Linked DNA regions of Mus musculus. The protein of the gene in region 1 purifies or fractionates together with the protein of each later gene. This does not show direct contact. Links are inferred from orthologs where the notes say so. Each region holds a gene or a part of one and is shown on either strand. Other genes may lie near its edges.

Region 1 (5,251 bases):
GGCAAAATGAGAGGTTTTCAAAGTCAGAAAACCAGTACTGACTGTTAAGTTTCAGTATGTCTGTGGGGTCCATATGGCCGACCCCCACCTGAAACTCATGTAGATCAGGCTGGTCTTGAACTCAGTGATTCATCTGCCTCTGCAGTACTGGGATTAAAAGAGTGTGTGCCCCACCACACCTGGCTGGCTGTTCTGTGTTTTATTAAATAAACTTTTCCTTCTCCAAGTCCTATTTGTGGACTGAAATATGTATTTTTTTCCTATGAAAAGATTTTTTTCAATTGAGTTAAAAATATCTGAAGGCAACAAAAAAGTTACTAATCAAAACCCTAAGGTAGGCTATTTTTGAACTAGTTTTATATACAAGAATAGCCACGTTGCCAGTTTCTGCAAACTAAACCCTTGTTATTTACCTTCCTGCTGGTATAATTAGGTAGGGAGGATTTAAAGTTCTGCACCACAGCAGTTTAGGAACAGTGGCAAAGGTCTTTCATAATAGCATGGAGAGGCACCATTCAAATGACAAAGTTGCCAAGCAAGGCGGCTGCTTTTAAGATTCTTTACCCTCCCCCATGGCATCGGGCTACCTTATAGACGATTTTAATTGTGAAGAACAAGAGTCTCTTCTGCACTTGAGGCATAAAGTCTCCGATAAGGAATGAGATTACAAATTGGCTGCCTGTCGGGCACATTTTCCTGGGATTTTTTACTTTGTTGGTCTACGTGGTTTCGGCATATCGGTTGCCAACACGTCAGATTTAGAGATCACACATAAAACTTCAACGTTATGGTTTTGGTAATTAAAAAAAAAAAAAAAGGAGAATACGATTATTTTAATGGTGGACCCCCTTAAGGGCATGGATGGAACTCCCGTTTCCACATCATCTAACATTCCTATTGTCTTCCACCAGGCCGGTGTCATTCGCTTTATTTGCCAGGCCTCTACAGACATCTGAGTCTGCAAACACTATCCAGACCTTTACTGGCTCCCTTCAAAGCTTACTTTGTTCTGTCCCAAGTCCCTCATCAGATTTTAAAGCAATAGCTAAGCAATCTGATCAAGTACGTGTACTTTTACATGTGCTTTCTGGAGATAGCATCTCAACAGAAAGAGATGACTATGCGGGTGGGTATTACAAGTATCACGGGATTACAGTCAGGATTGCCAGTGTCCACTCTAACTTACTCTAGTCGTAGTAGCCACGCCACACAGCTCTCGGATGGACCAAGGCAATGGTCTCCTTTGTAGAACAATGGACGCTGGACTACATGTGAAACCTACTTAGGCAGCAGTGTGCTGATCATCCAATAACACTAAAAACTGCTGCGAGCAATTCTGACTTGAGCTTCCTCCTAGGATTCGAGGTACTGTCCTGACCACATTTCCCCTCACCTGTTTTCGGGGCTGCTTTTGCGCTGGACAGTCGCGCCCATGGACCGCGCTCATCTAGCATGAGCTCATCTCTCGGGGGCGTTTCCAGAAGGCCTGGTCTGGCCTTGTGCGCCTGCTGCAAAGGGCTCCCCCCCCCCCCCCCACGAGATCAGCGGCCCCCCGCGATGGGCGGGCGCGGCTGCCCAGAGGCTCTCCTTCTCTGGAAGCTTTGTTCCCATTTAAGCGCTAGAGGGTTCGGCCCCGGCCACGGCGCCCTACGTCTTTCAGAGAATAGACGTTCTCATAGGCTCAGCACGCGCGGTGGGGAGCCTCGGGCGCACTTGGTAAGCCGCGCCCCGCGGAGCTCCCGGGAATGGGGACGGCCTCACGCCCCACTAGAGCGCTCGGGGCCCGACCCTCCGACCGCAGCATTGTCGGACCGGGCTGCACAGCCAGCACGAGCGTCGGCTCGGAAAGCAGATGCAGGCCGACCACTCATCCCGTCCGCCCGCTTAGGGACCACCCGAGGCCAATCCCACTGCAGCTAGGTCTTGCGATTGCACAGCAGTGAGCGCCTATTGGCCGCCGCCACGGGCTCCTGCACCCTCCTTCTCCCTTTCGAAGCTCCCCTCCCCCCGCGCTCCAGCTCGACGCTGCAGACCAATGAGATGGCACTTTATAGGTGCCCTCCCTCCGCTTTCTTCTTCTCCCCGCCTCAAAGAGGGAGGGGAGGCTCTGACTGGCCCGATGTCCTCGGAAGCCCCCTTCCCTTCACCAATCACCGAGAAAGGTACACGCCCAGCGGAGTTGTCCAGCCAATGAGGAAACGGGCGCGGCGCCCAGCCGTGCAGTTCCTCCCGCGACTCGGGAGTTTCGCCGTCCTTAACTCTTGAGGCTTTTCCCTGAGGGCCAACAGCTCTGATTGGCCACTGTCGCTATTGTCGACTCTTCTCTCTAGCCAGCCACAGGACAAGGAGAACCCTCTTCCCTTCTGTTCGGCTACCTTCGGCATTCCTCGTTGCTGGGGCGTGGTCTCCCAGCGGCGTCTCCTCATTGGTTATCCAGGTCGCTCGGCTTTTTCCGGCAGGAGCTGCAAGCAAGCGACGTCTCTGATTGGTTCCGGCTTGGGTTTCGGCTCTACAGCCGAAGCTGGCGGGCGCGGGCTCGGCGAGCGATTCCCAGACGCCTGTAACGCGGGCGGCGGGGCGCTGGGCGGTGTAAGGGCTGGGTGGGGGAGGAAGGAGGCGGAGGACGAGTAGGAAGGGGGAGGGGGAGTGGGGAAGGGCTAGGCGGCTGCGCAGACGGCGCGCCTCGCACAGAGCAGCCCCCGACCCGGCCGAATGCGGGCTTGTGTCGCCGCCGTCGCCGCCGCCTGGGCCGAGTGACAAAGGAAGGAAGGCAGCAAGGAGGAGCCGGCCTTGCAGCCGCTGACAGGGCTTCGGGCTCCGGGCACAGCGCGGACACTTCCCGAGCAGCCGCTGAGCAAAGGCGAGGGGCGGAGGCCGGCCGTGCCGGGGCCACGGACGGGGGAGGGGACCCCGAGGGACGGAAGCGGTTGCCTGGTTCCCATGTCCCCGGCGTATGGGGAGCAGTCAGGGAGCCGCTGCCTGGGGTCTGAAGGGAGCTGCCTCCGCCGCCGCTGCCGCCATGGCCGCTGGATCCAGCCACCGCCTGCAGCTGCTCCTGGCGCAATGAGGAGAGGAGCCGCCGCCACCGCCCGCCGCTGACTCGCGACTGCGCTGCCCTCCGGTTCACCCGGCCGCCGCCGCCGTCAGACCGCCGGATCCCGCTGCTGCCGGAGCCGCAGCGTTTGCCGTCGCATCTCCGAGCCATCTCCTCCCTCCTTCCCATCCCCCTTCTCTTCAAGCGTGAGGCTCGTGATCCTTCCGCCGCTTCCCTTCTTCATTGACTCGGAAAAAAATCCCCGAGGAAAAATATAATACTCAGAGTACTTATTTTCAATCAAGTATTTGCCCTCGTTCACGTGATATATATATATTTTTAAGGATTCCACTCCACCCTTTTTCTCCTCTTCCAGGAAAGGGAGGTGAAAGAATTGTATTTTTCTCCCAGCTCTAAATCATCTATGTGTTAAATATCCGTACCGATCTGTCTTGAAGAAATACATAGCTCCTTTTTTTTTTCCTTCTTCTTAAATAGCTATACAAAAGGAGTGAAAAGCCAAGAGAACGAAGTCTTTCTTTCTCTTTCTTGCGGGAGAACTTAATGCTGCATTTATCATTAACCTAGCACCCTAACATAAAACAAAAGGAAGAAAAGGATTAAGGAAGGAAAAGGTGATTCAAGAAGAGCCATCATGTCGGGGCGACCGAGAACCACCTCCTTTGCGGAGAGCTGCAAGCCAGTGCAGCAGCCTTCAGCTTTTGGTAGCATGAAAGTTAGCAGTGAGTATCGATTTTATTTTACACCCTTCCTCCACCTTACCATTTAGATAAGAAACCTCGAAATACCAGGATCTTACACTAACAGACCTGATAGAACAGTCAGTGGTCGTGGAAAAGGGCAAAACCAGCCTTGAGTCAAGAAGAGGCAGGCTCCTTTTCCTCCTCCCATTCCCGTACCCCCTCCCCCCGCCTCATTAACCTTGGATTGAGAGAATATTAGTTTTATTTGCCTGATTGGATTTGAAACTTCTTTTCTTACGTTCTCCGTGCTGCTGGTAGTCTTTTCAAGTGCTCCAGTGCCTCCGGGTTAAGCGATGGAAGAAGCGTTCGCTTGCCCATCCCTTTGAATAAAGAAGAGGAGGACAAGGCTTGATTAATAAACCATGATGTACATTTGCCGAGTCCTTGTCTTCTGGAATGAGGGAGTTTATCTTAGTTAGCTCAGGTTATCAGGGTTCTGTATTCAAAATAGAGATATTAAATGCCCCAGCCTCCTAATATTTCCTATTTGCCCGTGTGACTACACAAAGTATTTTTGAATCTGGGGATGAACTTGCTTGGTAACCCACATTGCCGTTGGAGGCAAGCTAGCATCCATCCCTCACTCGTCTAGGGGTGGTGGAAGCTGATAAATATCCCGCAGCAGTCGCATCTCTAAGTGCATTGTTTTCAAGTGGTTTAATGTGTTATCTCTTAACCTTCCTGTTTTGACATTACCAATCTGCCACCATATAATTTGTTTAATCAAAAGGTAACTTGGAAGGAGATTCAACTTTTGATTGAGGTTGTATTGTCATTTTGCCACAAACTAAGTTAAGTGTTGTCACTGACTCCTCATTTAAGTTTAATTTTGAGGTGGCATTGCATTTATTACTTGTTATTATTATTATTATTATTTTTAAGAGTACAAGAGGATACCCTTTTAGGATAATTTAAAATGTGTCAGTATCTGTCAGTCTTTCCCGGGGAATCTGTGCTGAAAAAAAAGAGTCTTGTGTTCTTGAAGTGTTTGGTATACTGAGTATCCAGTGTTCAAATGTATCTATTTGTGGAGATGTTTATGTGGTATTTCATGACAGCTTATTAGAACATAGTTGCAGATTCTGGCCAAAATATCCATGTTGTTTTCCTTATTCGATGAGAAAGAAGAGGGAGGACACAGATAAAACTGTTTTGTTGCTGAGAGGAGCTGATGTAACTGAAGAACTAAGATTTTTAAAAAGTCAAAATGCATGTGCTGTTATATGCAATTGATTAAGCAATTGGACCTGTTTCCTTTTAGCTGCAGTCCTGTAGGCTTTTGGAACTTGTCTGAAACAGAGAAGCCCAAAGTTATATCCAAAGCGATGGCTGAGTGGGAGAGATTTTTGCAAGTTCACTTTTTTCTTTTCCTTCAGTGACTAGCAAATTTAGAACGCAGGGCATGTTAAGAGGGAAGCTGATTTCGCATCTTTTAGGGAAGGGTCATGCTTTC
Region 2 (4,451 bases), on another chromosome or scaffold:
TATGTGGGTTCTGGCCTGTACAACACGCTCCTGGTACACAGCCCAGTCTAAGCATCTAGCTTGGATGGAAGGTGGAAGGTGAGCAGAGCTCTTTCAGCACAGCAACTACAAGGGCACCCCCTGCAGAGAGCCCACTCTGGGAGACAAAATTAGCTACAGGAATGAAAGAAGGGTGGTAACGATTACAGCAGACTGAATCAACTGTTTCGAAATGTATTTACACCCTCAAATTCTGTGTTGATAAAAAATTTATTAACCAAAATTTTGGGGAAAATATTTCTTTTCTTTCTTTCTTTTTTTTTTTGAAGATACCCATCTCTGATTTGTATGTAATGTTCCTCTTTATCCTTTCTGATAAAATGATAAAGATATGCTTTTTTTTTTTCTTCTAAAAATAAAAGTGAGTTACCCTGAGCCCTGCTTCTGTGAGCTCCAGGCAGTATCTGTTCCTTTCCTTTGTCTCCACATTGATGTAAGCCACATCATCTGCACAGGGCATGCTTTTTGAGACAAACATGTGGTTGACAGCAAAGAGTACATCGTTTACAACTGCCTCGGCCTCCAGCTGCATGTCCTTCATATCCGCTCCTTCAAACCCATTGAGCTCGGAGCCTTCTTCAAATCCAGACATACTGCTTAGCTCCACGGGATTATAGTCTGTTTCCATTCTGCAAGAAAGGAGTAACAGATTTTTTTTAATGGAAAAACATTGCAACTGGACAAGGGCAGAAAGCAGCAACGTTCTCCAGCAAAGTATCCCGAGCGAGCGCGGTCTTTAGGCCACGTACACATCTCCTCTGAAAGCTCTCAAGCTGGGACCTCACAGTCCAACTCACTCTCAGCACCTGTCCCCATGCTCCTACTAGGATGCCCAGTGAGCCCCACTGAGCGCACTCCATTGCATTCCTAAGCCAAAGCTCCAAAGTGCACATTCCTCCAAAGAGAAGCACTGTGGGCATCAACACAAGCTTTCCAGACCTTTTTAAACTTTTGTCAGTCTGTGAGGCAAAGAACAAAAGCTCATTGTCTTAGCATGTATTTCCTTGAGTAAATACCTTTTTTTGAGGCTTACAGAATATTTTTATCTGTCAAGTTCACACAGAAGTGGAAAAGAACCCAGTTTGTTTGAAATCACACCAATATTTAAGAAATATAAGTCACACCTATATCTAAGAAAATGGATGATGTTATGCACCTAAAATCTAATTCTAATTTCTGTATCACTGTGCAAATCTAGAATTTTCTATGTAAAAGAGTGCTGGCGGCGTGAAGCCCTGTAATAGGAGAATGAAGAGCTGACTAGGGACTGAAATGCAGAGTGGCTGGGTGTGAAACTCAGAATGAAAGTGTTAGAGCAATGGTCTCAAAATCCCCTTCCATGAAGCTGAAACTAAGATAACTTGGGAGTCAAAAGCCTTCGTGTGAAGGAATGGCAAACGCACAAAGCCAATGATGCACCTTCTACTATGATTGTATGCAACACAATCATTTAAACATGTCTCCCCTGCTCAACTAATACACTGTTTAGGGATACGCTTGGTTTTATAGAAGTGACTGTTTACTATAGTCTATAAACTCAGCTTGATCCATTGGTCCAGTGGTTAGGAATAAGTGCTTTCACTGACTTGGCCCTGAACTGATTAAAAAAAGAAAAGTCTGGAAGGTTTTAGCTCCTAAGCACCAAGTGTGTCATGTCTTTACCTTGGTAATAAAGAACAGTTACAGACATCAGAATAACCATTACATGAAAAAGATGTTCATAAAGCTGTCAGCAGGCGTCCAGCACTGGCAGGAAGACGGCCTTACAGGCTGGCAGAGTCCGACACCAGATGGTTACTGGGTAACCATCAGCTCCAAAAAGATGATACCTAGGGAACTTCATGCATCCCTTTGAGAACGATGTGGAAGATTTAAAGCTTTTGATAATGATTTATTTTAGTTATGTGTAGATGTGTGTCTGTACGTGTGTGTACACACATGCACAAGCGTACCCAGGGGCCTATGGAGGCCAGAAGGTGGCATTGGCCCCCCTGGAGCTTGAGTGGTGGTATGACCACTTGAGCTTGGTGGTCATGTGACCGTGTGGGTGCTGGGAGCTGACCCTTGCTGCTCTGTGAGAATAGGGAAGTGCTTTTTTTTTTTTTTAAAGATTTTATTTAAGTATATGGGTACACTGTAATGTCTTCAGACACACCAGAAGAAGGCATCAGATCTCATTACAGATGGTTGTGAGCCGCCATGTGGTTGTTGGGAATTGAACTCAGGATCTCTGGAAGAGCAGCCAGTGCTCTTAACCTCTGAGCCATCTCTCCAGCCCAGGGAAGTGCTCTTAAGCATTGTTCTGTCCTGCCCATATCAGACTTGCTTGCTTCCCACGTCTTTCCCTTGTCCAGTTACGCCCACATTTTCTGAGGGGAATCGGATGCCTCTTCCCTACTGAGTGGAGTCAGCAGGTGATGTGGCAGAGACTGACTCCAGTTCTCATACAATGGACTTTTTCATGGTCTTTTTAGTCCAGTCACAGCACACTTTTGGCAGCCATCTTGGGATGAGGACAGGAGGCCAACGATAATGCTGACAAGGGGAAAAGACAGCAGCAGGAGCCAGAGAGGATAGCAGGGTACCCAGCCAATCTCCACCTCTGTGCCTCAGTTATTAGAGCCGAAAAAGTCCCTGTAGGCTTTAGGGTTTTTTTTGTTTGTTTGTTTGTTTTTTGTTTTTTTTTCTAGACAGGGTTTCTCTGCAGCCCTTGTAGCCCTGGCTGTCCTGGAACTCACTCTGTAGACCAGGCTGGCCTGGATCTCAGAAATCTGCCTGCCTCTGCCTCCCAAGTGCTGGGATTAAAGGCGTGTGCCACAATGCCCAATGGCTTTAGTTTTTTAAAGCCTACTTTAGTAAGGTTCTCAAATACTTCATCACCCTTTCTAGCCTGCTGTCCAAAGATAGGGGAGAAAAAGATGGTAAAACTGGACAAGGGGTTATGGACCTGCTTAGATATGGTTCTTTGGGGAGATTCCGATCTCCGTTTGTCAGGATAGCAAGAGTCCAGTTCAAAGCGTCACCAAACACAAATCAGCCACTGCGGGGCAATACAGCAAAAGCTGCCACGACTCCGCTGAATTGATACAAGTCAACAAAAATGACTGAAACCAGTGGAGATGTCAACAATGTTCTCTGCCGTGCCTCTCTCAACAAAATAAAAATCAACAAAAGCCAAGAGCACAAAGAGTTACAGGACTAACAAGTGCCCCACTGCCCACTGAGCCCTAGCTATCCTCTCTCCAACACTAAGGGGCCTCCCACCTTCCTGCCCCAGCGATGCATGGCAGTCTGCATCACGTGACGCATCATGTGACACAGCCCCAACCTTTCATTTCAGTCTCCTGACATCGCTGGCCACAGAAAGCACTCACTAAGTTGGTGGCAGTCCACTCAAAGTCAAACACAGTAGCCGCTCCAGCTCTCTAGCAGCTTTACCGAGGTAAGGAGATGTAAACTATGGAACCCTGATGATCATGAACATTTTTATTTTATTTAATTTTTTAAGATGTATTTATTTATTTTATGCGTGAGTACACTGCAGCTGTACAGGTGGTTGTAAGCTATCATATGGTTGCTGGGAATTGAATTCAGGACCTCTACTCACTCTGGCCCCAATTGCTCTGGTCGGCCCTACTCATTCCAGCCCTGCTGGCTCTGGCCCAAAGATGTATTTATTATTATATCTAAGTACACTGTAGCTGTCTTCAGACACACCAGAAGAGAGCGTCAGATCCCATTATGGATGGTTGTGAGCCATCATGTGGTTGCTGGGATTTGAACTCAGGATCTTCAGAAGAGCAATCAGTGCTCTTAACCACTGAGCCATCTCTCCAGCCCCATGAGTATTTTTATGTGTGTCATGAAGAAAGTAGTTGCCAAAAACATTTTGTAGGATTATCACTATGTGGCTGCTATTAGCTTCCTAGTGCCTCAGTAACAAACGACCACAAATGTTGGGAACAAAAAAGGGGCCCTTGGGAAGAGGAGGAGGGGGAAGACCCACATTCCGCCAGAATTTTACCTATTCTCTGGTCTGTCAGGCGTGAGAGAGCTGCCATACACTTTCCACTCAGCCCTGGGTGGGCATTCAAGCCTCTGACCCACTCTTCAGGGGGTGGCCAAGGGGCAGCCCTACCTCGGAACCCCGGAGCTACTTTGCTAAAGCCACCAGGGTTATGGGAGAGAGGGATGAGGGAAGAGGTTCCCAACACCAGCAAGAGTGAGCACAGTGGATCTTGATGAGCAGAGACTCTCTATGGTTTTAGAGCTTTATTGTAGAAAGGCAGGGGGAAAGAGAAGGTAGGAGAGAGAGAGAGAGAGAGAGAGAGAGAGAGAGAGAGAGAGAGAGAGAGAGAGAGAGAGAGAAGAAGAAGAAGAAGAAGAAGAAGAAGAAGAAGAAGAAGAAGAAG
Region 3 (4,451 bases), on another chromosome or scaffold:
ATTTCTGAGCCTGAATGCATTTGCTCAGATTCTATATAATTACTCTGGCCTCAGCCTGATTTGGTTTTGTTACTGTTACGAGGCTGTCACTTCAGCCTGGTTTCTAAGTTATCCATATTAATAAACTAAACACTGCAGGCAGAATGAAGACTAGAGCCCAGGAAAGACTTGCCCCTTGCAACAACTCAGTTAACCCTCTCTAGTTACTGAGCTTTCTACAAACCCTCTTAAGACCACTGGCTTCTCCCAGTTTAATGTCACTCTTGCTGAAGTCTTGGAAGCTTGTTTTCCTTAAAGAAGAAAAAAAAACTTAAGTGTTATTACAGTGTTCCAGGGAAAATCATGATTTTTGACCTTGCTCTACTGTTTCCATTTTAAAGACTATTTTTTGGCATCCAAATTGTAAAAAAATACTGATTTTTCCCATAACATAACAAACACAGTATAAGAAAGAAAGAAAGAAAGAAAGAAAGAAAGAAAGAGAGAGAGAGAGAGAGAGAGAGAAAGTAAGAAAGAAAGAAAGAAAGAAAGAAGGAAGGAAGAAAAGGAAAAAAAAGAAAAGAAAATGTGTAACCAAGTAGAAAAGAAACCCTCCCAGCCTTAGGCTAGGACGCCTCGCTCTCCTAGGCCAGAGGCCACACCTCCTCTCCTTATGCCACCCCAGCCTCTCCTCCAACGTCACACTGTCTTCCTTCCCTCTCCCAGCAAGAACATTTCCAGGGTCGATGTCAGCAGGGACTGCACACGGTTCTTTCCACATATACCTCCTGGTAGAGGTATGCTGAGAACTTCTCCCTCCCTGAGGTCTAACTATTGCTGTTACTTCTATTTCAATTGTCAGTTAATATGGACAAATACTTCACGGGAGTTCATAAGCAACCCATGAATGCCTTTAGGTAGAGGTGAGAATATAAGAATCTATATCATAATGAAATATTTCAAAGGAGGCTATTGTGAACAAAGTTAACTAGAAAATTTGCATGTAAAGTAAATGTCTTCAAGTATATAAAACTTTTTTTTACAGATTCATGTAAAGTGAAATTTCTGGTTTCTTTGGAGACTCAGTTGTGTCATGTGACGTTTTTCTGAAAACTGTGTTATGAGAGGATGTTTTGCTGAGAACAGACACATGGTGTTTTTCTGGAAGCTGCCTGGAAAGAGAACATGTGATGTTTGGAAAGGGTATAAGTATAACCCAGCAGACAGTGGACTACACTGTGGCATTGGTTTACCTTGCCACTCTTTGCTGGGCTTTGTTGGGCTTTGCAGATGCTGGTCTTGGCTGACAGCACTGTGGCACTTGTTTGTCTTGCCTCCTTAGCTGATCATCATTTGTCATGACCTCATAGAGAGAAATGCATCGAAGAACTTGTGGTGATATTCTGGGTGGCTTACCACTTTGGACTGAACTGCCGTTGCTGGTTAGTGAATGATGTTTGTGAGTGGATGGAGTACTATTGCTGACTCACATCAATTCAACCACTGATGTCCTGACAATGAAGACTGGAATTACCCCAAAGAACTATTTCTAAATAGGTCCACATTCCCCTGTGCCCTATTAACCTTTCATTTCCACTACCTCAGGTGAGTGGTGGGCTAGAAGGGAGGTTAAAGTATTTAGTAACCCTTATTAAAGTAGGTTTTAAAAAATCTAAGACTATGCAATGTTTGCATTTTCAATCCAAGAAGCGACATAAAATATTTTGTTCCTAGCAGAAGTCCTGTCCCTAGAAACACTATTTATTATAGCTTGTATCAGGAAACTGCAGGGTTATAGTAATGCCATTTACAGACACCTAACTGTCCTCATGAATAGCTTTCTAATGAAGGTATGCTCTTTAAAGTGATAAATTATACTCCCACAACATAGATGAAAACTTAACATGGAAATAAAATTCAATATTGCAATACTTTTTTTCAGGTCAGCTGTCAGTATATCCGAAGATATTTGCTCTGTTCCCTCACTGCATTTAATATGTGTCAAAGCCATTGAGAAGCCAGGGATGGCAATATAATCCACAAGCCTATAATCCAGACCCTGGAAAGTTAAGAGAAAAACTTAACTTCAAGACCAGACTGGGCCACACCAGAAGAAAGCCATACCCTTAAGAACAATTAAAGTAAAAACTACAAAAGAGCCACATTGTGAATAATAAAATGTTGGATGTATAGACAGATTTCCAAATTGAGAATTTTTAAATAACACAAACCCACTGCTCACTTTTCTTAAGTCTAGAGACCTTTCTCACACACTTAACTATACAGTCAGAGTTACCTTTCACTGAGATGATGGAAACTGCTGCTTTCATCTTGATGGTCATCCTCAAAACTTAAGTTGGACCAGCTACCTGTGCTGTCTTCACCAACACTGAGATTCATCTGCTGGCTGCCAAGTGACTCAGTTGACTGAAAATCTTCTATTTCTCTTGAACTAGGAAACGATCACATGGTAATAATTTAAAAAACAATTGAAGCATCACAAATTGTGACAAAGAAAGAAGATGATAAAGCTGACACTAAGGAATTATATCCCCGGTGACACTAACACCCCTGAACATGTCGCTGCATCTGCACATAATGAAGACTGAACATCAGCACAGCAAGGACCGCATCTGCTACCTAGACAATACCCTTGTGCATCTACATTCAGTTGAAAGCACTTTCCACGTTCAACAGGACACTGAGCAGAAGTACGCCTCACTAGAAGTTCTAAGCAAATCATCTGACCTATAAAAATACTACCTTCATTTGAATCTAAAAGAGCCTCCTTCTGGCTTTTAGTATTAGAAATGCAGTTTGAAATTCTAGCTGTGTCAACCAAGCCTATATTCAAACTAAAGAAATCTCTTCATAATATGAATCATAAACATATTTCTTAGCAGAAACTGATGTTCCAGCATTTGGGAGGTATCTCTGTGATTCAAAACCAGTCTGATCTACATAATTCTAAGCTAGCCAAGGCTACATAGTAAGACCCTGTCTTAGAGAAACTAAACTAATTGCTCCATCTGTATATCGTCAACACAGTTCTAAAGAGTGATGCTTAAGCAGGAAGAGAAAAGGTATCAGTTTTCTGATCAAAACTTTCCATTGACTTCCAAACATCATATATGTATAAGCTGGTCCCTCACTGCCATCCTCCAAGTTGAGTCACTCTACAGCAGTGCCCAGAACACAGGACCCCCAGCTCTTGCAGAACAATGTGGTTTTTGGTTTGGTTTGGTTTGGGGTTGTTTTTTTGTTTGTTTGTTTTTTTGTTTGGTTTTTTTGCCTGTTTCAATTTCTTTTATATCCCTAACACCTAAATTAAGCCTTGAACTGCCCTTCCCATTTTTAAAGCACCTCTCACTTTGCATTTAAAAAGATCTGACAACTCAGTTAGGCTTGGCATTCCAAACACAGGTATCTTCCACCACAACTTTATTTTATTTAACACTTTTTCCTGTTACCTACCACATTTTTAAGAAAATGATTCACAGGAGGAGGGTAAAAGAGGGTTTGTAATGACTGCTAGGTAACTGGACTCATGCTAATTGAAAATAAAGTCTAGATCTATTATTATTCTAAAATTCCACTGTCATATGCTTTCCTATTTGAAATTCATATGGCTCCCAGCTGATCGTTATGGGTTTGTAACGTCCTATTATATATTCTACCATTAATCAAACAGTTATGAGAAAAGAAACATTAGTGAAACAATTTAGTTAACATCTTAGTGAATAATCTATTTGAATCAATCATTCTTCAATTGTAAATCATTTTAACTTTATAAAATGTGAGGCAGAATTATATACAACTGAGTGGACTCTGCAGTTCTCACAGAAGCCTGGGAACAGAAGTACAAAGAGAGAGCCTACAAATTCCAGTCTGGATTAAAACAAGCTTAAGGAAGACTGCGGGGTACATTACTGGCCAGGTCTAAGAAGAAGATGAATAATCTGAAGAATGAATAGCAGAGTTATTGGCCGAGTCCTGGGAGTGAGGGCTTAGGAATCACCATCTAGTTTCCTCTTCTGAAGCTGCTATGATAGAAGAGGAAGAATAAAAACTGTCCAAGCCATGTGTAGAAAACTGTCTCGACCATAGAAACAGATATTAATCTCAGAGTAGTAAATATACCAGTCTAAACTCTTGAATAAAATTCACCCATTTCCTTTATTCTGATTACCTGCTTCTTAGTTGATGTTATTGTGTTTTCTCTCATCTTCCAGCCCTGTAAATGAATAATTACTCACAAAAGGAACCGGGAAACAAAAATTTCATATGAAAACCAAGCACAGGACATGAAGCTACATACAAATGCAACAGAGAAGACCTCTGTTAAGTTAGGATGAAAATAAGTAGAGTTTTTATGAACAGAACCTAAAACATACAGGGCAAAGTTAACTCTTCATTCTATTACAAGACTTGACAAAAAATTTGAAACGTACCTGCTAACAGCATGCCCAGCA
Region 4 (4,941 bases), on another chromosome or scaffold:
TTCTATAGTGTTAAACTAGACACACACCTATTTCTATAGTGTTAAACTAGACACACACCTATTTCTATAGTGTTAAACTAGACACACACCTATATCTATAGTGTTAAAGGTGGAATAAACTAATAGCTCGCCTGCTTGGTAAAGGAAAGCATGAACTGCCTTTAACTAACTCTCAACTCACTGTCACACTACTTTTGATTGATTCTGTTAGTCTATTTTCTGTATTATTTCAAATAGCTAAAAACAACAACCATCAGGAAACCTGTTTTAGCCACACAAGCAGCATCAATTTGGTTTCTGGCAACTTCTAATTAAAATTACTAAAAAATCCTTCACTGCATGATAATCTGAATTTCTGCTTGACTTACTTGGCCAGAACCCCTCTTGCCCGAAGTCACACATCAGTTGACATTCAGAAGCTCTAAGCACAGCAACTGTCATGGTCATCAAATCGCTCCCTCATGAATTTTACCTTCTCCAACCTCTCAAAGTATTCCCGAAGGAATGCCATGGGCCTCTCGGGCCGCGTAGTGCACAGCTGCACGATGGAGTCCTTCAGCAGGGCCTGGATATTGTGCTTCTGCACATAGAGCTCGCATTCCCGGAGACTCCGCTCTTCCTCACTGGTTGCCATACTGCCAGACGCCATGGTTCTCTGGGAGACAAAGAACACACATGCTGGGTAAGCTAGAAAGCACAGATGCAGATCTGGCCTGGGACTTACTTAAATTCACGAGACAGCAGATTCAAACATTTCTTTACTCAACAGCATTTGTGTTTAAAGAGGAGGTGGGGGTTGGATATAAACTATCCCAAGTTTCTACTGTCTCCGCTGGGCAGGTCACGCAGAGAAGACCCATAGCTCCTGGGAGGAAGTATGAGCCAGCGTGCCTGCCCTGCTGAGCAACTGAGGCAGTGCTGAGGCCCCAAGCCCTCTGGAGATTTCATTCAGTTCTCTTGCAAAAGACATGACGATGATGACGTGGGAAGTATGTAAGTGGGAAGCAGGTCAGAGAATTACAAGGGCACACAGGTCGGCTCTAAGTGAAAGCACAGCTCACAAAGAACACCTGACATTCCCCTGAGTGCACCTCCCATCCCATGAGCGCAGCTAATGTCACAGCAAACCACAAGGGCAAAGAAGCTGATTAGCCAAATATTAGTGGAATCGAATTTTCTGAAACACAAAAGCAGCCTCGGGTGCCTTTCCTCAGCAATCTTTCATTCCCTTCTTTGACTAACTCTGCCCGTGACTTAGAAATACAATTACCAGCAGAAAGAGTTGAAAAGGCTGTACTAGAGGAAAATAATCTCTACCAAGCAAACTAAGATTTTCTTCATCTAGACAGGAATATATTAAAACATGCTAGTTTACAGCTTACAGGATGACTCAATAGCTAAAACTGAATTTGAGCAACATTAATATGAAATAGAAACACAATAATGGGCAGCCAAGCTGCCTCAGGACTAAAAGCTCAGTACTTTATGCAGCTATTCAGTTTTCCTCCTAACTCCTAATTACTAAGCACTTGAGATTAGAAGATGACGCCCTCTCCACTCTGCATACCAATTCCACATAACCACTCTTCAAATTATAATGCTCACAGACCCTCTAAGGTTAACCTGTGAGTTAAAAGATAAGGATAAGGAGCCATTTTAAAGTGCTGCACTAATGTTTTGTTTTGACAGTTTTCAAGATAAAGGTCAATAATATGCACGCAACAGACCAGGACAAAGTTTGTAGCTCCATGACAAGCACAGAAAGAAATTAGAAGCCACAGACAGACAGACAGACACACACACACACCACCGTCAGTTCAGAAGAAACACTGAAGGGAAGGTTTCTACTGTCAGATATCGTTTGTTCTTGTTGTGCTTCCAGGTCAGAGCACGGAACGAGACAAAGAATCCACTTCATTGGAACTTTCTCCATTTCAAATACTGAAGGCCACCAGGAACGTGGATAAAAACAAATCTATTATGCTTCGAAGCATCCAGCCATATTTCAAGAATGTCAGCACATATATTTAACTGATCAGAGAAATCCCTCTTAGATCCTGTCTCTGGCTGGGAAGGATGGCGCAACTAGGGCTGATAAGTGAAAAATGGTGTATGCATTACAAAGACCAAAAGGCAGGCACTGGTAAAGAAAATACAAACACCAGTCATCATGTGAAACGCCAAATAATCTAATTTTATGGCCTTAGGATTTTTAATCGGGTATGTCTTGGTTCCACGTTTGTATTTACTTTTTAAAAACCCCACAACTTAGCTTCTCTCCAAAACAAACACTAAAACCATCATCACTGCATCGAGTATTCGTAAGAAGGGGGATTCTTGAGGAAATTCGGTTCTGATGACACTCTTGCTTTCAGAAGGACTATACTGGAGGACATATTTAAACCGCCTTTGGGAGCCTGTTGCTGACAGGGCCCACATCTAAAGGATGCCAAGTAACACTAACACAGCCTGGGGGGTGGGGTGGGGGTCATCATCTAAATGCGAGCCTTCATTTCTCTGCTCAAGAAACCTATCTATCCTGGCTCCCTCAAGTCATCGGCTGTCCCCACACCCGCTCTGGGCTGGAGTTAAGGGTTAACGGGCGCCGCGTATTTTCACGAGGGAGGGCAGGAAAGTGCCCTTCACTTCACTTAGGCCACGGTCATGATCACTGAGAGCAGCAAGACGGCCCCTCATCCCCCACCAGGCAGGAGGCCGCAGACGTGGAGTGGAGCGGAGCGGGAGGCCTGGGGAGGCTGGGGTGGGCGGTGGTGGGGGCTGGAAAGGACGAGAAGTGTTAGGGGGACAAAGGGAAATGGAGCTAGGCTGAAATCACCGAGCGGAGGGGTGGAGGGAGACGAGCCCGCGAAGAGGAGGGGGGAAGCCAGGGCAGAAGAAACGACTGGGCAGAGATGAAGACTACAGCCGAGTGGCGAGGCTAAGACCGAAAAGCCATGGCGGATTCCGGTTTAAAAAAAAAAAAAAAATACCGAGCTCTTGTCCTTCAGGAAGTGGGGGAGGGAGGACGGGCGCCGAGGCCGCGGCGCGCGGGGGCGGAGGCGGCCGGGGAGCCGAGGGCAGCGCAGGACCGGGGACCCGGAGACACTCAGGACGGGGGCGGAACGGCGGGGGGCAGGGGCGGCCTACGGCCCCGCGGGGAACGGTGCAAGGGCGGACCCCGGGGGACAGTGCGAGGCCTGCGACAGGCCCCGAGGCCGCCTCGGAGGCGCAGGGGGTGCGGCCGTCCCCCCGCAGCGCGCTCCCCGGGGCGCCATCTTGGCTCGCTCCCGCGCCTTCAGGGACGCGCAGCGGAGCGCCGCGGCCGGCGACTCCCCGGTCAGGCCTCGGGCCCGCACTCACCTGAGGGCGGGCGGCGGCACGAGCAGGGGCTAACGCAGGGCGAGGCGGCCGGGGTGACCGAGCGTCCAGCGGGCTCAGCTCGCAGCCTCACTACCACTCTGCGATAGCGGCTCGGCGACGGCTCCACCGGAAACCAGCCGACCGCGGCCAATCAGCGTTCGGCTGCTGACGTCAATGCGCCTCGCTCTGGCCAGGGCGGTTGCCTTGGCAACCTTAAAGGCGCAGACGCCTAGGATCCTCCTCCAACCCCATCCCCACCCCCCTCAAGCCCACCACCGGCTACTCCCACCCCCTACCCTTAGCCCGTCGTCATCTAGCTAGAACCGTTCTCTTGCAGGGCACCTCTCCATCTTTATCTTGTCGCGTATACGTAGCCCCTTCATCGCTCTCATCTTTTTCCTTCTCTTTCTGCTAACCCGTTTCTGTCTCCTTTATTGTCCCTTCCTTACCAGGTGTGGTGGGGGGTCCTCTAGATTGTTTAGCTGTTCGGAGATCTCAGCCTCTCCTCGGTTCCTCGGTGGCTCTTGCGTCTGCCTCCCTCCACGCCTCTGTCTTTTCTCCCTCCCTTCGACCCTCCTACCGCAGACCCACGTGGGACGATTCGGTGACAGGTGGGCGACTCCGCCCTGGGTGCTATGGGACGGCAGGGAGGGGGATGGGGTTACAGGACGCTGGGCGGACAAGGAGATCCCTGCTGTTGGAAGAGGAGGAGGCCCTAGCGGATCTACCACAGCTGAGCGCAAGCGGATGCTGAGATGCTCCTGATGGACAGAGCGCGCATCCTGTGTAGACCCCCGCAATACCCGGGGTTCCGGACTCGGGCCTGTCATCCGGTCCAGGAAATCTGAGCCCCTATCAAGCCTCTGCTTGGCTAATCTGACTACTGTCTCCACAAGTGAGCTGTCATCAATGGAGGCCCTACCGTGCCTACAGAAGCACCAGATGTAGGGAGACTTCCAAGAGGAGCCCGGAGTCCTGATAATGCCCTAGCCTCCTATTATGCCAGACTGCGTCATGGGCAGTACAGACAGATGGGCAGATCAAATCATTGACCAAGCAAGAAATCTGAGCTGCATGAGAAAACAAGAGAAAAGGCGACTTCATTATTCCTTCAGTCAACTTTCCCCTTAAGTATGTGAAAATGAAAGCAAGGGACACAATTTTAGGCATATGAATTAAATAAATAAAGTGGGCCTAAATAAATACATAAATAAAATAGGCCCCTGCAGTGTGTGGTTCTGAGTAGCTGCAAGGTGTTGACAGCCTCATCGTGTATGTGCTAGGGCAATGTGCGTAGAAAATATCACGGATTTAACACTTAGTACCAAAAAAGGTTACAATATCTCCTGCATAATTTTCACAGTGATCCCCAGTTAAGATATTTGGGTTAAGTGGTGTTTGTAAATTTCACCTTTTTAAGCCTGACTTTGTCTTGGAATACCCAGACTATGATAAGGGCTCTGAACATTAGTTATGATTACCCCCCCTAGTAGTCAGAGGAAGGAAGGGGGAAGAGAAGGAAGCCGCTCCCTCTGCAGCCTCTCACCAGGATGTTGATCAATGGCTTCTTTTCCAGAGATG
Region 5 (4,451 bases), on another chromosome or scaffold:
ATAATTGCATTCCACAACTGTCTCAGAAAAATTCTCATATCACAGTTCATTTTTGTAAGAAACAATACTGACACATTTGGGTAGTATCAGATTATTACCATATCACACAGAGGCCACAAAGAGAACAGACCACCTGGAAACCAGCAAAGCACTGTGGGGCTGCAGTTAGCTCACTGTACTACAGAATGTTCTCTTTTGAAACATAATCACTCAGAGTGAGATGCCTAAGCTAACACTGCCTGGTACTGACTTGCGAGATCTAGAGTCTTGCCTCCTCATCTATGTTCTTCACATATAAGTCATATTACCTTTTAAGTTTGTAGTTAATTATTTTATGTGTATGGGTGTTTTGCTACAAGTGTGTCTGCATGGCTTGCATGCCTGGTGCTATTGGAGGCTAGAGGTGTCTGGTCTCCTGGGACTGGAGTTTCAGACAGTTTTGAGCTGACACATAATATGCTGAGAATCAAACCTGGGTCCTCTAGAAGAAAAGCCAGCGCTATTAAATCACTGAGCCAACTCTCTAACCCCCTTCCCCCACTACCTTCCCTAGGTTATCAGTTCATATATTTGAATGTTTGGTCCTCAGAAGGTGGAACTGTTAGGAAGTATTAGGGTGGGATTTTTGAGACTTCAAAAGCCGAAGCCATTCTTAGTTCTCGCTCTCTGCCCCATGGCAGTTGCCTCAAGATGGACATTGTCAGCTACTGCTCCAGAGCCATGCCTACCTGCCTGCCACCCCTTTCCATGCCACAATGGTCACAGAATCTGTGAGCTCAAAATTAAATTCTTTCTTTTATAAGCTGCCTTGGTCAAGTGTCACAGAAACTAAAAGACATCAGGGTAAATTATCTACCTACCTACCAATAAATGAAAATGTGTGAAATTAACAATAAAATATCGTATACTGTATACCTGATGAGCTCGACAAATCAAGTCTAAATCATGACGATTCAGAAATTTACTGACTACATCAGCTCCAAAAGTAAAAGAAACACCACGGTCATTTTCTCCCCAGCCTTGCACATCCTTATCTGGGTCGGACCACAGTAAGTCACAAAGCAAACCTTTAGAAAACAGAAAAAAAACAAACAAACCAACAGTGAAATAGAAGCAAGCACAGAATACAGCACACATTTACAGCACATCTCTCCTGCCTTCTTAAACTTCAATGATCATCCCTTGTCCCTAGGCACTCCAGTCTAAACCAGTCTTTGTTAAAGTACAACTTTCTCTAGCTTCCTAGGGTAGTACTTTCTGTTGACTTCTGCATACAGGAAATATGTGTGTGGCATACTCAAGTATATGTAATACGTGGAGGCCTTTATTTCCTTTCTGGCTAGCATTTCCTGTACACAGCTTATCCACTCCTTGCATTACACTACTACTGAGCACCAGCCTATATTGCAATACTTTACTGATTTATCACGAAGACATGAACACATTAATGACTTTAATTAAGACTGGCAGGGCGGCTCCTTTTCTTGCTCTGATCACTTTGTTAACTGTTTTCAGGGATGAAACTAGGTTTCTAAGTGACTTTCACTAAATATAATTAGGTCCAAGCACGTCAACATCTTATGTAAAGCAATGAACTGAACTTCTGTATATACTAACCTGTATCAGGTACGTCAGTGGGTCTCATAATTCTCCGAATCTGTTCCATAGATTGTAGGTCTGGTGACAGTCCTATATATAGAAAGAAAGAGACTTGCTATCTAGCAGAATTATACTCATGCTATCTTTTCTATCTTTCTACCAAGGAAATAAATCATTATTCTTCGAGAGATTCCAAGGAGAAACTCTACTACTTTTTTGCAGTTGCCCTCCCCCTTCCTGAGAACACACTTAGTTGCAACCTTCCTACTGCTTCTGTACCTTCATGACCACCAGATCCCCATAAAGCATTTTTACTTGCAAGTTATACGCCTCTCTTGGTCCCCTAGGAACCTTTCCCCATATCCCACCTCAACAGTCTCATTATCTGCAAAAATGTGCATTAAACTAATAATCAGAAGGATAAAAAAAAGCACAAGAATATATCTGTAAAGTAGAACATAAGGTATTATTTCTCTGGTAGGTAATTCAAGTACCACAAGAAATGAAGCTAAATACACATATTCCACACTGCCATATTCCCACCTCAACTCTGCCAATGCCTTTAATGGTCAGTATCTATGGAAAACAACATTTCAACTAATAGAGTGAACTGTGCTGTCAGAATAAACCACTCACGTCTCAGGCCTCGCCACCATCTTTCAGCATTTCCACCTCTATGCTTCCCAAAAGACACTACCATGTATGATACCAAGAAACCATTTTTCCTGTATATCATTAAATTGTTCCATAGTGTGTGTAAATGTGTGCTCATGTATGCGTGTGTGTGGTGAGACTGATTCTCACTATAAAGCCCTGGCTGGCATGATCCTTGGTACATAGGCCAGGATGGCCTTGAACTCAGAACTATACCTACCTGCCTCCTGGGTGCTGAGAGTAAATGTGTACTTGCTTCTACCTTGTTCTAAGGAAGAAACCTCATTGGCCTCAAGATCCCTGATTAAGGATTGAATTTAGGTCACAGGACTTTCAAAGCAAGCCCTTACCATAATCTTCCCTAACTTTTGAAAAACTTTTTGTGTGTGTGTGTGTGTGTGTGTGTGTGTGTACACGTACTATCATAGAAAAGTTTACTGCATATTCTTCAGGGAGTTCTCATGTGTGTAAACTTACAAAACTTTCATCTTTAGAAGACTAAATTGTTCATGACTACTACACATTTGAAGCTCTTTAGAAAGTCATTAGTCATGGCAATTTATGATCCTCAGAGCATAAATGAGAAACACACCAAGGTAAAGCTGGGTGCTAAAGCTGGAGAGCTGAAAACTGTTTTTGATCTAAATTCTAATCTCTATATTCTAATGTCCTCATTTCCTAACATGTTGGCGTAGTGCACAAAACTTGGAAAGCTGTATGAATTATGTTTAGAGTTTGATAAAAGGTAGTTAATACAGACAGAAAAATAATTAGCCTCTCATTCTTAATGATGGCCAAGTACCTTTTATTAAAATCTGAGGTATGAGCTAGATCCCAGCACCACAGGAAATCATCTGACCAGCTGGTCAAGCATAAATTGAGGCAAAGTAAAAATACTCCACACACATCTAATTACCTTTTCTCTTTCCCTTCTCTTTTCTTTCTGAGGTAGAATCTATGGCCCAGGATGGCCTTGAGATCCTTCTGCCTCAGCCTCTGAGTCCTGGGATTCCAGTGTGTGTGGACCACTCTTCTGTTAACACTTGTATAGGAGGCATTCTCTGTAAGGCCCAGTGAAGAATTTCCTATTTTGAGACGGGGTGTTCCTAAGCCTGCCTGGCCTGGAATCAAGCTGGCTTCTAGTTGCTCTACACCTCCTGCCACACTCAGCTTTCCCACAGTACTGTCATTATTACAGTTCTCTTCTAAACAGCAAATGTATTACTCTACCTCCATGACAACAGAAGATTTTCTCATCAACAATAGCAGCTATAGGCAGACAGTTAAAACAATCAGTGAATGTCTTCCACAATTTAATATTAAATCTTCGTTTACCTATAAAAAGGGAAAACACAGAGAATTAAAGAATCAATAACTGTTTTTTTTCCCTCTGTGCTTGATTACTGTACTGGCTAATTTTGTGTCAACTTGACACAGCTGGAGTTATCACAGAGAAAGGAGCTTCAGTTGAGGAAATGCCTCCATGAGATCCAACTGTAAGGCATTTTCTCAATTAGTGATCAAGGGGGAAAGGCCCCTTGTGGGTGGGACCATCTCTGGGCTGGCAGTCTTGGGTTCTATAAGAGAGCAGGCTGAGCAAACCAGGGGAGGCAAGCCAGTAAAGAACATCCCTCCATGGCCTCTGCATCAGCTCCTGCTTCCTGCCCTGCTTGAGTTCCAGATCTGACTTCCTTTGGTGATGAGCAGCAGTATGGAAGTGTAAGCCGAATAAACCCTTTCCTCCCCAACTTGCTTCTTGGTCATGATGTTTGTGCAGGAATAGAGACCCTGACTAAGACAATTACTTAGCCCCTTTTTCTGTAAGTGAATAAGCTATGTTCAGTTTCATGCACTGGAGATGTAGCTCATATCTGAGTACTTGTCCAGCATTCAGGTTTATCACCACATGTATTTTTTTTTTCTTAGATAGTTCTAAAAGGGGAATAAAACATTCAATACCTTCTGTAGAGTTGCAGAAACTTCAAAGACTGTACTGTTCTATGAAACACATTCATCAAACAACTTTATCTTATAAAAATCACTATAGTATAATACTTCTGAAATCATCTAATAGAATATTAGCTAATTTCTTCCCATTCAATACATTTCCTAGCTAAGTAAGTAGACATAAGTGAAAATGGTACCTCTGGAGCTAGTCCACGTTAACTTAATGCACTGAGTAATGAAGTATAAACCTA
Region 6 (4,915 bases), on another chromosome or scaffold:
ATTGAACTCAGGACCTCTGGAAGAACTGCTAGTTCTCTTAACCACTGAGCCATCTCTCCAGCCCTGAGAGTTGTTCTTTAATTTTTTTTTTTACTTATATTTTAAGATTTTGGAAAAAAAAAAACTTTAAAAAAATTTTAAATCATTTGTGTATGTATAAGTACAGGTGCCTTCAGAGATTAGAGATCCCACATTCCCCTGGAACTGAAATTATGGGGTTTGTGAGCAATCCAGTGCTAGAAACAGAATTTGTTCCATTGCAAGAGCAGTAGGCCTTTTAATGGGTGAGCCGTCTTTTTAGCCCCTAAATAATATGTGTGTGTGCGTGTGTGTGTGTGTGTGTGTGTGTGTGTGAAGATGATAAACCCATTGTTTTGTGAAGATAGAGTGGAAGAGGCAGACAGGATGAGATGGGTCAGCAGGAATGGGCATTTGTTACCAAACATAATAACCTATCTTTGATTGCTGGGAGGACGGGCTGGGAGGACGGGCTGGGAGGACGGGCTGGGAGGACGGGACCATGGCAAAAGTCTCCTCTGACCTACACATGTGTCTACTGCATGGGTGCGGCTCCCAACACGCCACTAAATAAATAAGTTTAACAATTTGTTCAGAGTTAGAGAAATGTCTCAGTGCTTATAACTCAGACTGATCTTAGAAAGTACTTAGCACCCACATCTGGTGACTCACAACCACATGCAACTCCAGGTCCAGGGAATCCAATGTTCTCTTCTGCAGCCTATGGGCACTGCACTTAAATGGGCAGATACCTACACACATATAAAACAAAAACAAAAAAAACTATTTTCAAGGGCTTCTGATTCCAGTACTTGGAAGGCAGAGGCAGGTGGATCTCTGAATTTGAGACTAGTTTGATCTACATAGTTCCAAGCCAGCCACGGCTACTACATAGTGAGTCCCTGTCTCATATAAATAAAATAAAAAAATAGCCAAGCTGGGCACCACAGGTGACTCTTATAATCCCAACACCAGGAAGCAGAAGCAGGACTATAAATTCAAGCTCGACCTCAACTACATCGGGACTTCAAGGCCAGCCTGGGCTTATAAAAGGCCATTGCAAAAACAAACGCAATAAAAAGTAAACAAAATATGCAGACCTCAGGCAAAGTGTGAAAGCACACTTTAACCAGCATCAGGTGGGTGGAGTCAGGAGCCGGCCCACAAGAAAAGAAGTAACAAAATTGCCTTTGTATTAAAACAACTTCCCCCAAATAAGGTGGTTCTTTTTCCTCAGGGGGGTTATGAAGAGAGGGTCTCACCAAGGCACCCAGGTCCGTATGCACCCCAGGCTGCACTTTAGCTAATAAGCCTTTTGCCTCAACCAACCCAGAGCTGATTACAGATTAGCAGGTCCATGCCTGGCCTGATATTCTTCAAAAGGAAATTTTTAGTGTAGCTGGCATCAAGTTGAACCTCACCCTAAATTCAAATTAAGAATATTCGTCCGGGGCCTAGCAAACACAGAAGTGGATGCTCACAGTCAGCTATTGGATGGGTCACACGGCCCCCAATGGAGGAGCTAGAGAAATTACCCAAGGAGCTAAAGGGAACTGCAACCCTATAGGTGGAACAACAATATGAACTAACCAGTACCCGGGAGCTCTTGTCTTTAGCTGCATATGTATCAAAAGATGGCCTAGTCGGCCATCACTGCAAAGAGAGGCCCATTGGACTTGCAAACTTTATATTCCCCTGTACGGCGAACGCCAGGGCCAAAAAGAGGGAGTGGTGGGTAGGGGATTGGGGGGGTGGGTATGGGGGACCTTTGGGATAGCATTGAAAATGTAATACCTAATTAAAAAAAAAAAAAGAATATTCGTTTATCCACGAAGCTGGATCTCCAGCAGAATTAGGGGACTTTCAGGGTTTGTTAAAGAATAGAGTCTATTGCCCAGAGGATTGTTTTGTTCTGTTTCTGTCGTTGTGGGTTTTTTGTTTTTTGGGTTTTTTTTCTCCCAGTCCAGACCTGGCCTGAACTGAAGTCTCAGCCTCCTCTGAGTTGGAACTAGAGGCCTGTGGCTACCATACCGAGCTAAGTTATTTGAAAGGAAGATGCCTATCTGTTTCTTCAGGGGCAGAGAAACTTACAGCAGGGGGCCAGGTGACTTGGAGCCTTTAAAGGGAAGAGCGACCTAATGCCACACAGCCTGTCAACACAGCTGGGCGAGTCCAGCTGGTTCAGGAAGCACCAAAAATAAGCTACAAAGAATTCAGGGCCGTGCTTATGGTTTAGATTCCAAACACACTTTGTGTTTATCCCTTACCAAGGAGGCGGTATTTTTACGTGTGTGTGTGTGTGTGTGTGTGTGTGTGTGTGTGTGTGTATGCGCACGCGCCTGCATTAACACTAAAGGAGAACACTGGAAGCAAAGGAATGTAAGTTGTGGGTCAACATATATGCCTGATGAATTATTCTGTATATTTGGCATAAAAACAAAGATTTAAAGTAAAACACCACGACCGCCTCTACCTAGGAGGGAAAAAAAAAAAAGGCAAACCGCCATTCAGAGGCAATAAAGCGGTGCACCCAGTGCCCTCCACTCCCAGAGGTTCACCTGGACCCAGTGGGCTGAAGCCCGCTTGCGGGAGGGAAACTGAGAGGGGCGGGGAGAAGGGAGAGACACACCTCGCCGGGCGAGGCTGGCGGCCGCCGCACAGGTTCTGCCGAAGGACCCGACTCAAGCAAACCAAGAGACTCCTTTCTCCGGGCTCTCCCGCCTATGGCCGAAGGGCTTGGTCCTCTAGCTCCCCCGCGTCCATCTCTGTGATCCCTCCACACCGACCGTCCGGGCTCCCCAGATCCCACACCTTCGTCCTTCCCAGACCCCACGCTGCATTCCTTTCGGTCACGGACTGGGACCCGTTACCTGCAAAGCGGCTCGACAGTCCTGCAGGTAGTCCTCCATGGTAAAGCCCGAGGTGTGCCGTTGCCCCTCAGCCAGGAGAGGTAACCCGGCAGAATGTACCCCGCCCTAGACCTAGGGTCTAGAGCCGAGAGTCAGGGGGCGGGACTCGAACCCGCCACTAAAGGGTTCGGCCTCCGAACCCCAGGAGGAAGTGCGTAATCCGGCACTCCGGGAGTCCGGCGTTGCCCCGCCCCCCAGCGGCAGAGGCTGGGTTCTGAGCCCAAAGACTCATGGGACGTCAAGGAGGAGTATGGTATATCGCGGTGCCTCCTGGGAAATGTAGTCCAGCAGCTCGTGTTTGTCCTCAAGTGAGCAGTTTTCGGAGGGCTATGACATGCAAATTGTGTATGTGTCACAATAACTCGCCTTTATGGCATCTGAACTTGCAGATAGGACTAAGTATAGTACCTTTCCATATATTACACCGAAAATCTGTTCGAGATTGATGTAAATTAATCTCTCAATTTTTTTTAAAATACAAATTCTTTCTATCTAGCCCAACCTGTCTGGAATTTGTAATCTTTCTCCTCAGTTTCCTGAATACTGGATTCACAGGCCTGGTTTGGTTAGGACTTTAAATTACAACATTGCTGTACATATTATTTATTAAAATAGCTTCCCTGGTTAGGTGTTTTTTCTTTCTTTTTTTTAAATTCTCCCCTTTACCAAACTGACAAATCGTGATCAATGTGTTTGTTCACGATAGGAAAACATTACCATAATGTTTGACTTGTTTTCTTAAAACCTACTGTCGTGCCAACTCTTCCTCCTTCTTCATAGCCTTTCTTCTACAGCCTGAGCAAATACTCCTCATTCATGGGCTGTTGCAACCGTGACTTTGCTTCCTGGGTCTCTGTTGCAACAGTTCTCTCGGCTTTCCGAGTTGCTTGAAGCCTTATCCTTTGGCCGTCACATCAATAGAGTTTAGAGGAGCCTTCAGAACCTAAGGCTGGGTTCCAACATCCCTTAACTGCCACTTGCGTGTCCCAGGGCAGACTACTTGGGGGGAAAATGTCCCTTCATCATAACATGTTCCCTCATTTTTTAATCTATCCCCAGATCGTCCTGCTTCTCGGGGAGGTGAGAAGAGGCAGAAGAGCGTCTTCCTCGCCCCCGACCAGGTACACAGCTGAACCAGTTTCATTCCTAGCCTTTCAAAAAAAGCATACGGGGAAGAAGGGAAGCCTTGGGAAAGAGCTCAGGGGCTCCAGAAAACCAGGAGTGGGAATTTTCTTTCTTATTGAACGAGTACATATGCAAACACAACGCCCTTCCGCCCTGCTTTCTTGGCTCCAGAGCAGAGGGCTGCGGCGGGCATCCAGGGAGGTCTAATCAACAGCCGCTGTCCCGCCCTGCTCCTCCGGGCTCTGCCAGGCCGCTTGCTTTTCCCGGTTCTCACCAGAGAGGCACACGCGCTCCGTCCCTTCCAGCGGCAGGCGGAGGGAAGAGAAAGGGTCTGTTGTTTTTCTCTCTTCCTTTCTGCGGCTCACCGGGCTGCTGACCGGCTCAGACAGCCCTGATGGAAATCCTCGGTAGCTGAGCAGGCCCCTCCTCCTCCTCCTCCTCTAGGGACCGCGTCCTTGGCTAATTTGTCTTTGTCCGGACAGGGGGAAAAGAGGGACAGAGAGAAGAAAAAGAAAAACCACAAACTTCCTTTGAAAGCCAGTTTGTAGGCACGGCCTGGAGCGCACGCCGGAGGCTCGGTGACTCGGGAATCCTGAAGACTCTGGGAAGCCAGGCGGGACCGCCTGCGCTGTGCCTTGCTTGTCCTCGGCCCCGACCCTGCTCCAGCGTCCCCCGTATTGGGCGTGTGTCCGGAAGTGGCAGCGACCCAGGCTGGACGCCGCGAGAGTAAACCCGTGTCAAGCCGTGTAAGCTCTGGGGCTGACAGCTGGGAGGCGGCTGGCGCAGTCGGCGCCCCTCAACGATGTCCCCACCTCCCGCGTAGAACCGCCAGAGTTGAGTCCTCTCCCAGTGCCGGAACCTCA

What was found.
Region 2: the proteins of Gsk3b (region 1) and Gskip purify together in Homo sapiens (affinity purification with mass spectrometry; 10 studies listed by BioGRID and IntAct, with this or other methods). This does not show direct contact. The link is inferred for Mus musculus from reciprocal best matches to the Homo sapiens genes GSK3B and GSKIP.
Region 3: the proteins of Gsk3b (region 1) and Akap11 purify together in Homo sapiens (affinity purification with mass spectrometry; 4 studies listed by BioGRID and IntAct, with this or other methods). This does not show direct contact. The link is inferred for Mus musculus from reciprocal best matches to the Homo sapiens genes GSK3B and AKAP11.
Region 4: the proteins of Gsk3b (region 1) and Prkar1a purify together in Homo sapiens (affinity purification with mass spectrometry; 3 studies listed by BioGRID and IntAct, with this or other methods). This does not show direct contact. The link is inferred for Mus musculus from reciprocal best matches to the Homo sapiens genes GSK3B and PRKAR1A.
Region 5: the proteins of Gsk3b (region 1) and Ppp1cb purify together in Homo sapiens (affinity purification with mass spectrometry; 3 studies listed by BioGRID and IntAct, with this or other methods). This does not show direct contact. The link is inferred for Mus musculus from reciprocal best matches to the Homo sapiens genes GSK3B and PPP1CB.
Region 6: the proteins of Gsk3b (region 1) and Prune1 purify together in Homo sapiens (affinity purification with mass spectrometry; 5 studies listed by BioGRID and IntAct, with this or other methods). This does not show direct contact. The link is inferred for Mus musculus from reciprocal best matches to the Homo sapiens genes GSK3B and PRUNE1.

Annotation. Positions count from the first base shown.
Region 1 is NC_000082.6:38,086,837-38,092,087, forward strand, and holds the start of Gsk3b (glycogen synthase kinase-3 beta), read left to right. Parts: upstream 1-2,164; 5' UTR 2,165-3,689; coding exon 3,690-3,777; intron 3,778-5,251. UniProt on the Homo sapiens protein: Constitutively active protein kinase that acts as a negative regulator in the hormonal control of glucose homeostasis, Wnt signaling and regulation of transcription factors and microtubules, by phosphorylating and inactivating glycogen synthase (GYS1 or GYS2), EIF2B, CTNNB1/beta-catenin, APC, AXIN1, DPYSL2/CRMP2, JUN, NFATC1/NFATC, MAPT/TAU and MACF1.
Region 2 is NC_000078.6:105,694,935-105,699,385, reverse strand, and holds part of Gskip (GSK3B-interacting protein), read right to left. Parts: intron 669-4,451; coding exon 410-668; intron 1-409. UniProt on the Homo sapiens protein: A-kinase anchoring protein for GSK3B and PKA that regulates or facilitates their kinase activity towards their targets.
Region 3 is NC_000080.6:78,505,450-78,509,900, forward strand, and holds part of Akap11 (A-kinase anchor protein 11), read right to left. Parts: coding exon 4,431-4,451; intron 2,432-4,430; coding exon 2,276-2,431; intron 1-2,275. UniProt on the Homo sapiens protein: Binds to type II regulatory subunits of protein kinase A and anchors/targets them.
Region 4 is NC_000077.6:109,649,493-109,654,433, reverse strand, and holds the start of Prkar1a (cAMP-dependent protein kinase type I-alpha regulatory subunit), read right to left. Parts: upstream 3,486-4,941; 5' UTR 3,361-3,485; intron 3,093-3,360; exon of another isoform or gene 2,991-3,092; intron 679-2,990; exon of another isoform or gene 656-678; 5' UTR 650-655; coding exon 473-649; intron 467-472; exon of another isoform or gene 90-466; intron 59-89; exon of another isoform or gene 1-58. UniProt on the Homo sapiens protein: Regulatory subunit of the cAMP-dependent protein kinases involved in cAMP signaling in cells.
Region 5 is NC_000071.6:32,482,497-32,486,947, reverse strand, and holds part of Ppp1cb (serine/threonine-protein phosphatase PP1-beta catalytic subunit), read right to left. Parts: intron 3,589-4,451; coding exon 3,484-3,588; intron 1,690-3,483; coding exon 1,618-1,689; intron 1,068-1,617; coding exon 916-1,067; intron 1-915. UniProt on the Homo sapiens protein: Protein phosphatase that associates with over 200 regulatory proteins to form highly specific holoenzymes which dephosphorylate hundreds of biological targets.
Region 6 is NC_000069.6:95,278,697-95,283,611, forward strand, and holds the start of Prune1 (exopolyphosphatase PRUNE1), read right to left. Parts: upstream 3,381-4,915; 5' UTR 2,928-3,380; coding exon 2,889-2,927; intron 1-2,888. UniProt on the Homo sapiens protein: Phosphodiesterase (PDE) that has higher activity toward cAMP than cGMP, as substrate. Plays a role in cell proliferation, migration and differentiation, and acts as a negative regulator of NME1. Plays a role in the regulation of neurogenesis.